Notamacropus eugenii: one gene and its partner. The protein of the gene in region 2 interacts with the protein of the main gene of each other region in a pairwise test. Links are inferred from orthologs where the notes say so. Each region holds a gene or a part of one and is shown on either strand. Other genes may lie near its edges.

What was found.
Region 1: the proteins of GIT1 (region 2) and PPFIA4 interact in a two-hybrid assay, tested with the Homo sapiens proteins (2 studies listed by BioGRID). The link is inferred for Notamacropus eugenii from reciprocal best matches to the Homo sapiens genes GIT1 and PPFIA4.

What each region holds. Positions count from the first base shown.
Region 1 is NC_092873.1:437,155,915-437,163,531, reverse strand, and holds the start of PPFIA4 (liprin-alpha-4), read left to right. Parts: upstream 1-4,574; 5' UTR 4,575-6,582; intron 6,583-7,617. Other genes in the region: TMEM183A (transmembrane protein 183A), read left to right, coding at 2,354-2,509, 3,372-3,557. UniProt on the Homo sapiens protein: May regulate the disassembly of focal adhesions. May localize receptor-like tyrosine phosphatases type 2A at specific sites on the plasma membrane, possibly regulating their interaction with the extracellular environment and their association with substrates.
Region 2 is NC_092873.1:37,130,873-37,138,205, forward strand, and holds the start of GIT1 (ARF GTPase-activating protein GIT1), read right to left. Parts: upstream 3,047-7,333; 5' UTR 2,971-3,046; coding exon 2,919-2,970; intron 1-2,918. Other genes in the region: uncharacterized protein, read left to right, coding at 3,052-3,608, 4,595-4,640. UniProt on the Homo sapiens protein: GTPase-activating protein for ADP ribosylation factor family members, including ARF1.

The sequences.
Region 1 (7,617 bases), about 400 Mb from region 2:
TTTTAGATCAAGCCCCCTTTGAAAATTTGTCTGGGGACCTGAACTTTAAACTTAAACCATTACTTTCAGGTACCTCTGCTTCCATTTTGTGCTATGGGTACAGAGCATAGAAAGACTGCCTAACTGAAATTATATTTATAATGTGCTGATGTTTATATAGCACTTAAGGTTTACAAAAATTTTGCTTTACAGATAATTTCATTTTAGTCTCACAAGAATGCTGGGTGGTAGGTGCTATTGTTACCCCCATTGTACAGAGAAACAAACTGAGGCAGACAGATTAGTAACTTGCCCAGAATCACATAGCTTGCAGATGTCACAGGTTGATTTTGAACCTCCAGTCTTTCTGACTCCAGACACAGCTCTCTATTCACAGTGCTACCTAGCTGCTCTATAATATAAAAAGGAACTGATTACATTTTTTTTTTTTTGTTATTCAAATAAAGCAAATGCTTTGGTGCTCATTTGTTAGGTAATCACAGTATGTAGGGGCTTTTATGCATATGTTTTGTAGGTTCTTTGGAATTTAGAATGCTGGATAGCTGATACATTTAATTTTTGTTTCCCCACTTATCTCCTAGATTCTACTGAGTTGCTTTACAAATAAGGTTTTACCCCATTTAATATAAGACATTCTGGGGAAAAGTACTTTTGTAAAGTGAGTCACTTTTTAATTGACTTTTATATAATTTCTGGGAAAGGAGTATGTGTTTGTGTAAGTATATTTGGTTTCATTTTATTTTATTTTATTTCTAGGCCGGAATTTTGGTCTTGATTGTATAGCTGCTAAGAAATTCTTAGTCCCCTAACATCTTGTCACATGTCAGACATTGGGGAAACATGTTTGGCAAAATCATGCTAAGATGGGATATTGGGTCAGGATGGGCATCACAAATTCTTAACAAATAAGGGACAGGAGCTTAATGACTATGACAAGGCAATTTTGAGAATCTTCTACTCAAAAAAATTGTAATTTCTCCAAGGAATAGTGACCAGAGTTTGAGTATCCTCTGCTCTTCCTCTTTGTATGAAGCAGATCTCTGCATTGATAGTTGACAGAGCAGGAAGCATACACTTGTCATACATTGGTTGACCTTACTAGAGGTTCCAAGTTTACTGAATGGAAGTACAAACCCCTACCAAAGATTTGTGAGTTCTATTATTATTGCAAGTGCTAATAATCCTTTTCCTTTTAATAATTCAGAGTTTTCAAAGCCCTGTTATATTTATAGGATTGTAGATTTAAGAGAATGTAGAGGCCTGCTAGTCCAGCCTCCTCATTTTACAGATAAGGAAATGGGAGTTCAGAAATGTCAAATGGATTGCCCAAAGTCACAGAGGCAAGATATCTCAGTGAAGTTCATATTAATCTGCTTCTCATAATGGCTTTGTAAATTAAAGCTAGATATTAATCTTTCTTTTAGAGATGAATAAATTTAGGGTTAGAGAAATTATTTCCTCTTGTCCATAAGAATAGTTAATACCTGACTGGAATTGGAACTTGGATTGGTATCCTTGAACTTTTTTTAAATTGGTAATTGCATTTTATAATGTAATTGTTTTCCTTTAGATTTTATTTTATGCATTTAAAAACATGCTGAGGTTTTTTATAGGTTTCATCAGAATGCCAAAGGAGTTCATGAGATTAAAAAAAGATTTAGAATTCCTGGGCTAGAACCGGAGGTCTTTATCATCTACTATTCCATACTGATTCTTTTGTCTTGGTAGGTGGACAAATTTTGTCATAAGATGAATTAATTTAAATAAAATCTACCCTTTAAAAAAATAATTGATTTCAGATTTTAATAAATCATTTCATTATTATTGGTCATTTGCCAGAACATAGAAATAATTTGCATCATTAATAAAACTTTACACTTAAAATATTCATTACGGCAGGATTTTTCCTTTATCAGCTCTGGTTAGCAGTTTGTTGAGATATGAGTTTATTCAACTAAAATAAGGCTTTGGTAGTGTGTGTGTGTGTGTGTGTGTGTGTGTTACAGACACATACACATGGGTGTCTTCCTTCCTTCCTTCTTTCTTTCCTTCTTTCCCTCCTTCCCCTACCACCTCTAACACTGAATCTAACTTATGAATGTAACTTTACTTTTTATAAGATTCATTGCTGTCTTTGAAGTGTTTGGTAAATTATAAAGTGCTTTGTGAACATAAGCTGCTGTTCTTGTCTTTGCTTACCTTGCAATTCTAGTCCTCTGCCACATAGAGTAAGTAACCTGGTAAAACAAAAGACAATAGGTGTCATTAGGTTAGGCATAGGTTTGTCACTGGTCGTATCCTAGAATCATTTATATTTTTCTAATCCACTGAGTTCATTTTCAGTTCTGTTTAGTCCCCCAGGTTAAAGAGTAAGTGTGTGGGAGGGCTACAGCCTCCTGTTCAGTATGAAGATGTTCACACCAACCCAGATCAGGACTGCTGCCTCCTACAAGTCACCACTCTCAATTTCATCTTTATCCCCATTGTCATGGGCATGATTTTTACCCTGGTAAGTGGATACAGGATGAGAATAATCCTGTTAACTGAATAACCCTATGTGCAGCAGGATAAGAAAGAAGGCCTGACAATGATGTGGTCTTTGGCTAAGCTTGTAGATGAGGACTCTGGAGTTCTCTTCTCATATCTCTGAGGGATTGACTGTGGCTAGGATCTGAGAAAAGAAAAAGTAATGAGAACATAAAGAGAGAAGAGACCATCCTAAGTGGTCTGGTGGTTCACTAGTTCCAAAATCAGCTACCCCTGGCTTGTGGGCAGATGGACTTTTGGATGGGGTAATAAGTTGAAATCCCACTCTCCTGTCTGAATGTTGAGTCTTCAATGATCCATGAACATTGAAGGCGGCCCTATTTGTTTGAGAAATAATAAAGTCTTAGACATAAGACAGACCTCGGGGCATATGGAAGACATCTCTAACCTAGGATGCAAGTTGACACCCCTTGTGCAAAGTTTAGACTGTTTTGAGTCAGTTTACCACGAAGTACTCCTATTTCTATACCTCTGGCACATTGGTCCCATTTCTTATAATATGTTTGGCAGCTAGAGAAGGAAAAATTATGACATTTAGTCTTTTGTGCCTTTTAGGTTTATATTCAGGGATCATTGTCTTTATTTTTAGCTTAAAGAGCTTAAACTGGGATGAGTTTATAAAATTAACCTTAAATGATTTTTCTTTATAAGACAGTTTTAGTAATTTAATTTTATAGAGCAATTGTGGTGCTTTTTTGGAGTTGAGCAGTCTCTGAATTCTCTTTAGACTATACTTTTTTGTAGAGTATAATCTGTAGCAAATCTAGCTTGCTTCATTTGAAGGATTGCTTCATGGGGCTACTCATTTTGCCTTTTCCTTTCAGTTTACCATCAACGTGAGTACTGACATGAGACACCATCGGGTGAGGCTGGTGTTCCAGGATACTCCTGTTCAAAATGGTCGGAAACTACGAAGTGAACAGGGTGTACAAGTCATTTTGGACCCCGTGCACAGTGTTCGTCTCTTTGACTGGTGGCATCCTCAGTATCCCTTTTCTTTGAGAGCTTAGTTACTGCCTCCTGTCTTTGGGGGCAGCCCTGAGCCAGTTGGATAATCCGTTAGTCATCAGAATACAACTAGGAAGGGGGCAGCTGGATTGCCTTTCCTGTTAGTAACTCACATGCTGCTCAATTTCTGGGGGCTCTTACATGGGGCTACTGAAGAATCAAGGGAGGGAAACAATGATTTGTAAACCTATTTTAATGTAAATTCTGCATTTGAAAGGAGAAACTTGGCCCTGTTCCTTGCTTTTAAAAGCCCTTTTTGGTGCTATTGAGTTTGGTGTCTTTTATTTTATTAACCCCACTGAACACAGAAAATGGATGATCTTGATTTGAGAAGAGCTCAGCTTTTTTGAATCCCCAAAACTGGAAAGCTTCTGCATTTCTTTGTGGATTTGAGTCCCATGTTGGCCCATCTGCATATAAGTGAATTTTCTTTCCTCCAGGAAATAAAACAGGTAGTAGGGTTCACAGAAATCTACTCATAATGATTTTTTGTTTTTTTTTTAATGGAGATATTTGTTATTTTAAATTTCTTCTGGCCATTTAAAAATCTCAGATGCTTCTGTACAAAGCTGGAACTTGAGATTTCCTGGGATATGTTAAAAGGTAGCAAGTTATATATATAAGATGAAAAGTAAGAATTTGAAATTTGTCTTTTGTTAGATTGTAGTGAAGTTTTAAAATGAAAAACAGGAAAGTTACTGCAGGGAAGACACTGTTACTCTTCTAGAAATAAGCAGGAGGCATTTATATCATTAAAAGAATAAAAATGATTCATCAATTCTTTGTAAAATTGGCTTCCTGGGCTAATAAATAGGAGGTCCTGATTGACTTTACCTTTACCTTTCACTCAGTGGCCTTGACAGCAGCCTGGGTGCCTCCTGAAGCCTGATCTGCTGCACCTTTGCAGATTTTTGTTTATTCCCTATAGTAGACAGGGGTGGAGTGTTTCTATAGGTGGTGATCTGAGAAAAGAGAACAACTTTTATGTGAAGCTACTATGTTGCTTTTTGATGATCTTAAGATCTCAGTGGATGTGGTGATTGCTGCATCTCATCTAGAGTCTGGCAACAAAGTAGAACCTTCTATTGGAAACCATGTGTCCCAGGTAGCTGATAACATAGGTCAAGCCTCTAAAAATGAATACTGCTTTTTCTACTGCATGGGTTCTGGAAAATTCTGAAAAATCTGCCTGATAATGCAGGTTTGTCTGTCATTAGACCTGTCTGGCCTCATTCCATACCATATGTGTCCTGAGTTGTTAATGGGATGGGTACCTGGGATGGCAACAGCAACATTTTGGGGTTGTCATCAAGAAAAGGGGAGGTTGCTTATAAACTTCCCTATTTTAAAACTTTTTTTTTTTTTTGCATTGGAAGACTAATAGTCTCCCTGAAATGAAACTACTGGAAATAGGATGATTTTGAAAGAAAATGGAAATGAAATTATTTGTCCTGTAGGTGTTTTAATTTGACTTCTGCCGTGTTCACCTTTCTCTTTGCAGAGCCAAACTAGAAGCTTACTGTACAAAAACAGTGCCAGCAGTGGGTATGGGCTCACTTGTCCAGTTGGCATAAGATCGCTTACCTCTTGAATTCAGTGATGATTAATCAGAACATCTTGGTTGAATGCTAACTTTGCTATTTAGTAGCCAGGTGATGTTGAACAAGTCACTCCTAACTTTGTTTCCTCATCTTGTAAAAATGGGGACAATAATACCTACCTCACTTGGTGAGGTAAGTGCTTTCCAAACCTTTAAAGCACTGCGTGTGGGCTGTCGTTGACTCCTGTGGCTTTAGATGTGCAATTTGCCCAGCTACTATTTCTAGAATCTCAGTGAAAGGATTTGCTTGTCTCAAAGCCTTTACTTTGAAGAAGCTTCTGCCTTCTTCCCCACACCCAAGTGCTTGTGGTGGTTATAGGTAATGGAATGTTTTGGCCTGCAGGTTGAACACTTGTCCTTTTCAGTTTTTTCTATGAATTGTCCTCCAGGAGAGCCAGTCTGGGTAAAAGGGCCTATGATTTTCCCCCGAGAGATGGGCATGTCTTCTGACTCATTGGGTTTTGAATCACATTCAACTCCTCCCCACTTCCTTCCTAAAACAGGAAAATGAAATGACATAGGAAATATTTTTGGAGAAGGGAAAAAGGAGAGCAAGGCTCTATGTGCCAAACTTCTGCTGCATAAACTAGTATTTGCTACTGAAATAGAACATGTTATGTATATATTTATAAATACATATGTACACAGTGCTGCACGTATATAAAAAATCTTCACACTGAGAGCAGTGCTCACTGGGTATTCTTAATGGGTTCTGTAGGCACCCACAACTCAGATGAGTGGGGAAGAGTGGTGGCACCAGAAAGGGGGAACCCGCGTGATGGCAGGGAACCTAGGGATCCCCAGGGTTCAGGAAGGGGAGCAGCGATTCCAGCGGGGGGACCCCCACCCGTGCCCCGGGGAGTATGGTCAGTGCATCAACAAGGGGTGGATGGGCACAGCAGGCCTCCCGGAAGAGCTGGGGCAGTGCCCTGTTCACTCCCCCTTCCATCCTGGCACCGCCGACTGGCACTTGAAAATCAAGTTTTCTCACCTGATCTATGGGTCTAATCCCCCGCCCCAAGCTGGGGCAAGTGCTGGACCAGGGAGCAAGCCTGAAATGCCAAGACAGCAAACCCTAGGGTTTAGCTGCCACGTTGGGGTGGGGGCTGGGAGGGGCGAGGTTGGGAACCGCACCCCCAGCACTTGGCCCCCAAACACCCAAATTGATCCCTACCTGGCCAGGGGGCCGCCAAGATGGCGCCAGAAGCTCCACGACTCTCGTCACGTGCCCGGGGCGGGGTCTAGGGCAGCTCCGCCTCCCGAGGCGTGGACATGCTAATATACGTGGCTGGGGGCGGGGCCTCGGGCCGGGCACCGGCTGAGGCTGCAGCCAATTCGGCTCGGGCTCGGCTCCCTCGGACGTGCCGGGCTCCCGCGGCCGGGGGCGGCTCCCTGTTGCCTGTGAGCGGCGCTGGCGGCGGCTGCAGGTGAGGGCCGGGCCGGCAGCGGCGGGGCAGGGTTCTTCGTTTCCCTTCCTCCCCCCCACACCCTCCTACCCCTCCAGGCCTAATAACCCCTGCGGGCTCTGGCCTGGTCTGGTGGCGCGGGTGCCCGCCGCATCCTAGGACCCTGGCCGCCAGGTGCTGACTCGGCCCCTCCTGCCGCCCCTCCGGCTCCTTGCCCTTGAGGAGTGGGGGTAGGGTGGTAGGTGGGGAGGGGGATGATACAGGGAGAGCTGGGTCGTCGATTCCTCCCTACCCTACCCCAGTGACCCCCGCCTCCAGCCCTACCAGTCCGGGGGTGGGAAGGGGAGATGTGGGGGTCGTAGTGGACAGCGCCACCCTTGCAGGAAGCTCAACCTGGCATCAGCTCAGCTCTCCAGGCAGGCCAGGCCCTGGGGAGTGTGGGGGGTGTGGGGCGGGTCTCGGCCAGGAGCTCGTTCCCGCACACTGCCTGCCCGCATTTGTCTAGCCTGTGCTTTTTCTGGGTAGCAATGCCCTCCCTCTCTGCAGTGCTGACGATGGGAAGGGGGGTCCTGCTGGCCAGCACTAAACGGGGGTCTTGGGGGTCCTTGAACATGTGGGGAAAGTGAGAATCAGCTGCGATTCGGGTGTATGTATGTGTTTCGTGGAGGGTTCCTGTGCCAGATGGGGGAGGGGGAGAAAAAGAAGACGGGGTGAAAAGACCGTAAATGTGATTTATGGTTTTTTCGGTGGTGGGGGTAGGAGAAAATCGGGGATCATGGGAGAGGAGAGAAGGAAGTGCCACTAGAAGGTGATGTCACTCTCCTGGGAAAGACTTGTGGTGGACCCCACTCCCAGCTTCCCTTCCCGATGTCTACCGTTTAATGGTGTGGAGGAAAGAGGGGTGATGAGAGAAGTATTGCTCAGGTTTTATATCCCTTCCACTTAGGAAGATTAAAGGACTTGGGCTTGAAAGTGGTCCCTTGGGGCTGCCTTGAAGTCACCTCCGAGGACACCTGGTCTAGAACCTCAAGCGCCCCATTATGTGTATGTGTATGA
Region 2 (7,333 bases):
GACTGAAAGTTCTCACATCCAACCCTTCCTTCTGTAAGTGACTGCCTAGCCCAAGGGCCCAAACAGGGCACTTAGCAGGGCTGGAATGCATTTGGACTCCAAATCCCCTAATCCAACATCCTAGAGGAGTCTTCTTTGAGGGCAGCCATGTGGTGCATCTGTGAAGGGGATGGATAGGACCCAGGCCAGGATTCCAACTAGACTTTAACTCTGCCTGAACAACTCAGGAAGTTTGTCTTCCTCAGGGGTCTGCTACAGCCACTGATGAGGAGCCCTCGCACGTTCTACCAGTCTTGGTCACCTTTCTTCCACTCAGAGTAGGATGCTAATCACTACTGATGAGAGCTCGAGAGTTTACAAAGCTCTTTCCAGGCATCATTCCATACCAATGCCAGTTTCCAAGTCTTTGTACAGATGTCCCCCATGCCTGAAATGCACTCTCTCCTCACCTTTAAGCATCTTTAATTTCCTTAACTTCCTTCAAAGATCTGCTAAAATGTCATGCTACTTTCTCCACAGGAGTCCTTCCTATGGAGAAAAGGAAATCCCTTCAGTTGCTAATGTCCTTTCTGAAGTCACTTTGTAAATATTTATATGATTTCCTTATAGAACATAGGATCCTTGAAGGCAGGGCCTGTTTCAGGACTTGGGTTTTTGGGTTTTTGTCTTTATGTTTCTAGCACCTGGATCACACAGTAGGTGATTAATTAATGCTTGGTAATTATCTCACTTGAGTCTAACAGCTCAGCAAGGTGGGGACTACCAAGCATTAACAGCACATCTTAATAGAGAAGGAAATTGAGGTTCTGAGAGACCGACACGACTAAGGTTAGAATTAGTGCCTACAACAGAACTTAAAGTGTTTTTCAGACTCTAAACCTAGGCTTCTATTAACTATGCCAGATGAGCAAGGTAGAGGAGGGGCCCTGAGGGCATAGTCCTATGCCAACCTGGGGATATCTCATCCAACAAAGAGGCTAACCTTCTGACACTAATGGGGTCAACTGAGGGTCACAAAACTGGGCATCCACAGAGATACCACCACCAACTTCCTCTATCCCCTCACTGGGTACTCACAGGGCACTAGAAAGCTTGTTCTGATGTCCCTCATCCCTATCTCAAAATGATCATTGGAGCTGACACTAACACTGGAGACTCCCTGTGAAGGGGGAGTAAGCCCCCAGATAAGCCTCCCCAGATCCTTTCTGCCAGCCTAGAGAGGGCACACTGGGGCACCAGCTGCCCACATGCCTTCTGGGGTTCTCTGGAAACTCTGCAAATTGATCTGTAACCCAGAACCTAAGTGGGAATTTGGGGAGGTGGGCAGTACAAACCTATCTCCCTCCCAAATGAATGAAGCCAGAGTTAAGGTGGAGGAATCACAGTGACTCTGTAGTCATCCAATTTTCTTCATTTTACAGATGAAGGAACTGAGGCCCAGAAAGGTTACCTATGACCATTAGGACTCCACTACCCCTTGCCCCAACAGGCTGCTCAGATCTGAAGAGCCCCTTCTGCCTCCGGAGTCCACCCCTTCCACCAGAAGGAAACTGCTCCTCTGGTCTGTCCCCTCATTTCCTCCCTGGGGCCAAAGTAGGTAGAGATGTGCAACTCCCACATGGAAAAGAACTCCACTCTTCTGGGGAGAAGGGGAAATGCCAGTCAACATGGAATCAGAGGCAGGGGGTGGAGGCAGCTGACTCTCAGACCCTAGGCTAGGTCTCCCTGGCATAGAGCAAAGCTGGAAGGGAACTTAGAAGCCATCAAAGACCAATCCCTTCTTTTTACAGAGAAGGAAACCGAGTTCCAGGGAAAGTACAGGACTAGTAGACCCACAGAATAAGTGGCTGAGGTAGGATTTGAGTCCAGTGTCCTTTACTGGCTTGCCCTGGATTTATCCACAGACCCTAGGCACCCAGGTCTAGGGTCTGTCCTGTGCTCCCTGCCTGGTACCAATGGTGCTGGGATTTCCCACTTCCCTGTCAAGTAGTGGCTGAGGAGAAGGAAAACTATCTCAAGACCCAGGCCTGCTCATCCTCCCCCACCCAGCAGGCTTTGTTTATGGGGTTGAGGAATGGTGTCTCAGGATTCCATTTGGCCTGACAGAGTAGGTGTGAGAGCCCCTAGCACCTTCAGAGGCCTAGGAATCAGTCACCACCTTCTGAAGAATTAAATGGGACCTAGGGCCTGACCCTGGCCCCTCTAACTCCAGGAAGAACAGCCCTACCAGGCCCTGGGCAGGCCAGGATGCCTAAAGACAAGCATCCCTGGGTAACCCTTGCCTTCCGAGTACCTTTGTGAGAAGACCTGTGGCCGGTGGACCGGGAGCTGGGCAAGGTGAGGGCAGGAGATACCTGCTCACCCCCTTTCCCCACAGATGTCCTCTGCAGCTACACAGCAATCGCAACGTGTGAGCAGCAGGTGTAAGACAGAAGGAGGCAGCCGAGACTCCATGACACAAACTAAGAACACACACTTCCACCCCCTAAGGAAAAATCCTTCTCGCTTCCCCCACAGTCCTTCTGCCGCCTAGGAGCCGGGGAGGGGGGGTGGATGCCGTTGGGGGGGAGGCCAGACTGCCCAAGGAGGAGAAGGCACCGGACACGTCCTTCCTGAAGCACGGACCCCGCTGGCCCCTGGGCTGGGGGTGCTGAGGGGGCAGGATGACCAGCACTGACGTGGGCACCAGCAGCAGCCCAGGAGCAGCGCGCTGCGCCCCTCCCCTCCCAGCTCGGGCCCCCGGGCACCCCGGTGCCCCTCCCAAGGACACCTGGCTCTGCAGTGGCTGCCGAGGCCGCAGCCCCCAGCCTCCGCTCACCCTCCCGCAGCATCCCGCCCCCGGCCTCGGGGCGCTGGCGTCTCGACCTCCTTCCCCCCCACCCCGGGGCCCCCGTGCCCGCCCCCGGCCCGGGCCTTACCCGGGGCGCTGCAGTCCGCACACACCTCGGCCCGCGGCCCCTTCCGGGACATCCTCAGCGGCGAGGCGGCCGCAGCCCTCTGGGCCAGCGTGGGGGGCGCGCGGGGGCGTCGGCCGCAGGCAGGGGGTCCCCGATGGCGCCCGCGGCCACGGCCACGGCTGCTGCGGAGGCCGCTCCCCGCCGCGCGTCCGCCCCCTCGGGGCCCCGGCCGTCGGCGCTCAGATCGGCCCCCGGCGCGTCCTCCCCGGCTCCGGCTCGGCCCGCCCGGCTCGGCCCGGCCCGGCCCCTGGCTCTCCGGCTCTCCGCAGGCTGCCCAGCTCGCGCTCAGCTGCTCCCGCAGGAAGCGACGCAGGCCCGGCCCACCGGGGGAGGGGCCCGCGCGCCTCCCGACCCCCAGCCCGGGCCCGGACCCGCCCCGCTCCCAGCTGGAGAAAGGAAATGGCAAGGAACACAGGAAGAGGCTCGAGGTGCTAGGGAGTGGGGGGGCTTTAAAGGGCCAGGAGGGCCGGGCTCTTCCCGCCCCCCCCAATCCCAGCCCCGGAGACCGCCCCCTCCCCAGCCTCTCCCCATCCTGAACCGAGTCGGGGAGGACTTGGCCTGGGTGACTGGCCGCCAGCTTGCCCCGCATCCTGGCCCCTTGCCTCAGTTTCCCCTACCTGCCCCCAAAGCGAGAACAGGGCGGAGCTGGTGGTGAGTCACCCCTACAGTTCCTCTTCCTGCCTTCCCCTATCCTAGCAGCGGGAGGAGGAAGGAGAGGGGGAGCATTGAGGGCAGGTGGTGAAAATGGGGCAAAAACGGGAGGTGGGGGATTAAGGCTGAACTGCCTCGCTGAGGTTTATTGTGTGTGTGTGTGTGTGCGTGTAAATAGGCCAGTTTAGGGGTGACCTAGCAAGCCGCCCCATACCAAGGAGAGGCGGACAAAGAATGTTGGGGAAAGGTCGCCATCCTCTGTGTGGGGGTGACAAGGCTGTGGGTGTTTGGGGAAGGAGGGATGGGCCAGCTTTTGTACAGTCTGGGTTCCTAAGAGCTGTCTGGGTGCGGAACGCATCGATTAGTGTCCACACTCTGGTGTCTGAGTTGGGGAAAACGTTCTATGTATGTATGGGTAGGGGCACACGATTCTGCAGAGAGCACCCACACTTGTGTGAAAGGGGGGGGGCGTTCTAACGATACCATCTTGATGGATAGAGAGCTGGCATCCATGGGCTCAAGCTGCCCTTCTGTCACCTGTGTGACCCCAGCCCCTGACAACGCCCTAAGGCTACAAATTGGGCTTCTTTTTCTTCCGGGTTCCTTGGAATTCCATAGGTCTATTTGTCTTAGCTTGCTGCAGGAAGTCTAGATCCCCAGATTTCCCTGGGAATGGGGGGAGAGCAGGTAGCCACCCGCGTGAGGAATATAGACCAAGTTTCTGGAAGAAAGAAATTCACTTGCCCAGCTTTGTATCCCCAGTCCACCCAGCTGGCACCCAAGAGGCACTCAATGGGTGGCGGGGGGAAGAGTAAGTCATTTTTATCCGTATTGTGCCTTATTGTTATGTACTTTAGCTAATTGACCTTGAGCAAATCCCTGGTCAGTTTCCCCATCGGTCAAATAAAGGGGGTTAGACTCCATGACCTCTAAGGTCCCTCCCAGCTTATGTTGGCATTGAACTGAATTAAACTGTTAACTTCTAGGGTGCCAGAGAGGTCACTCACTGCCTCCAGGCAAGACCACACCTAGACTACAGCTCCCCGTGGCTAAGAATCAAGCCCACTTCTAAAGATGTCTGGAGGAAGAGACAGACAGCTGCCTTCTCATGTGGGGACTTTCCTGTATTTTGTCATGTACTCATATATGTCCATTCCTGGAGGGGAGGAACAGAATGTACATGAAGTCCTGGCCTGTTTCATTTCAAGGCCACGTGTTCATGTCCAGGCTGTGTAAATGTATATATACACCCAGAATATTTCCTTGGAGTGGTTTTTCTTCGCAGGTTATGAAATTTTACATGAAGGAAGAAGCCTTGAGAAACTGCGAACCTGTGGCCCCAGCCTGCTCGTGTGCATTCCCTTGTGCTTGCCAGTTTGCATAAAATGCCCTGCCCTCTGCTGCTGCCCTTCCCCCCTTCTGCTTTTGACTCTGTCTCTGGGGAGGTGGGCATGACTCGGGAAAGCTGTTGGGAGGGGAAGGTGTTAGAAGCCGTTCCAGTGGTGAAAAGGTTGCAGGTGTAACGTCTAGAGTCTAGACAAAGAGGGGATTCTACTTGGCAACAGGAGATTCACTCACGTGGGGAGAGGTGCCAGAGATGTTCAGCCTATCTGTGGCAGGGGCTCGTGGGTGGGCAGACTAGCTCCCTCCCTGAGACAGCAGCCGCCCATGAGTCATGGCGCCCCAAATACAGCGAGACCTGCCTCTTTCGACTTCTCATTTCTACCCGGATTGACAAGTTTGTTTGAAAGTGTGTGTGTCCACTGGCTATATTTATAATCACACTTTAAAAAAAAAAGGAGACTGCCAGCTTGTAGCATTGCCTGTCTGCCTTGCCGCCTCCCCCAATGCAGTCCCTGAGTTGTTAGGAGAGAGCCAGGCAGTTTATCACCTGAGTTAGCCTGTGCCTGGCTGGCTCCCTCGGCTCCTGGAGAGCCCCACCTGCCAACGGCTGCATGGGAGGTGCTACTCCCCCCTTTTCCCCCAGGATGGGCCTTCTCTTCACCCTGGCATTCAAGGCTGAGGATGCTGAGACAGGCTCTCTCTCCCTACCCCACCCCCTTCCAGCCTCGTGGTGAGTGAATGCATGTGGAATGAAGGCTGGGGGTGGGAACTGGAGCTGAAGATTCAGCTCTTCTCTCAGCTATGGAATTTCATTTATTAAATGTCTACTCGGCTCTCAGCTGCACGGTCTGTTTGTCTTTGTTTCTTGGGCTGTGTGTGGGTGAGTTTGAGAGCACGTGGCAGCCTGGGACTGGCAGGCATGAAGGAGAACAAACAGGTGCCTGGCATGCCTCCCCCTACTCAATCTAAGTCTCTCAGTTGGACTGTGTCTCCTGGGGAGGGATGGGAGGGACATCCCAGGAACCAAGATGAATTGACTCCTTAGAGCACCTAAGCAAACTGGGATGATGGGGGGGGGGGGGGGCGGCCGCGCAGAATCACAGAATCATAGATCTAGAACTGAAGGCATCTCAGATACCATTTAGTCCAACTCCATTTTAGAGATGAGGAAACTGGCCTGGGGAGAGTGACTTCCTCCGTACTTACACAGTGTCAGAAGCAGGATTTGAACCCAGGTCTTCCTGACTCCAAGTCCAACACTACCCAACCCCCCCAGCCCTACTACCAGTCCCTCCCCCAAACTGTACCTTGTCCTGATACTTGGGGAAGAGGGCTCATGTAATTCAATAACCATTTATTGAATGTCTACTAGTCGAAGACAAAAACTAGTCCTGCCCTCAGGGGATTACAATCTCTTGAGGGAAAACACATAGACTACCTTCACTTACTAAGCACCTACTGTTTCTCAGCTTTGTGCCCGGTGATCTTATAAAGACAAAAGTGGTCCCTGTCCTTAACTTACCATTCTACCAGGAAGGAAATAGTGTGTACACTGATACAAAATATACAGAGTAAATACAAAGTAATTTGAGGAGAGAGGGACTTTAGAAGGCATGGAGGAGCAGATGACATCTGCAAATCCCCACACCTCTTTAGCGGTGGACTTGAAGGAGGCTGCAGTCCGTCTGTGTCTCGGCCATAGGAAGTGCTCAGCCACACCTTCATTCCCAGGAGTATCCGCTGTACAGGGGCACCCTCTCCTTTTCCTCTCTTGCCTCTCCAATCCCACTGCTTAGGCTCCCGGTCCAGGTACAACCCTCTGCTGACTCCTTGTGGTGGAGGTAGGGAGCAGCATGCCTAGGCACCAAAGGAGGCCCGCAGACTCTTCCGCAGGGGAATGGGGATGGTGACGCTGACTGCTCCCTCTCTCCCCCTGGCGGTGTGGCATCCTGGGATGTGCATGGTTTGCCATGGAGGCGGGGTATGGAATACAAGGAAGAGATGATGGAAAGGAGGATGAGAATATCATTTTCTAGCAAGTCTCAAACCATTATTGCTCTGAATGAGAAGCTGGAAATGGGAACTGATTTGTTCGTCCCAACCAATTCAATTTGGCAAAATGTAATTGCTTGTTATGTGAAAAGCCTGGCTTCAGGAACCAGAGGAAGACATAGAACAGAAATCGGCAAAGTCCCTGCTCTCAAGGAGTTTCCCGTCTGAAAGGAGAGAAGGCTAGCTAAAGTTCATTTAGCACAGTGCTTAGTACACAGTGGGCATTTAATAATTGCTTGCTGATTAACTGATTAAGACACCTCAGAGAGGTGGATCTCCAACCACCCATCTCTATTAGCCCTTTAAACACAGTCTATCCCAGTCCCATT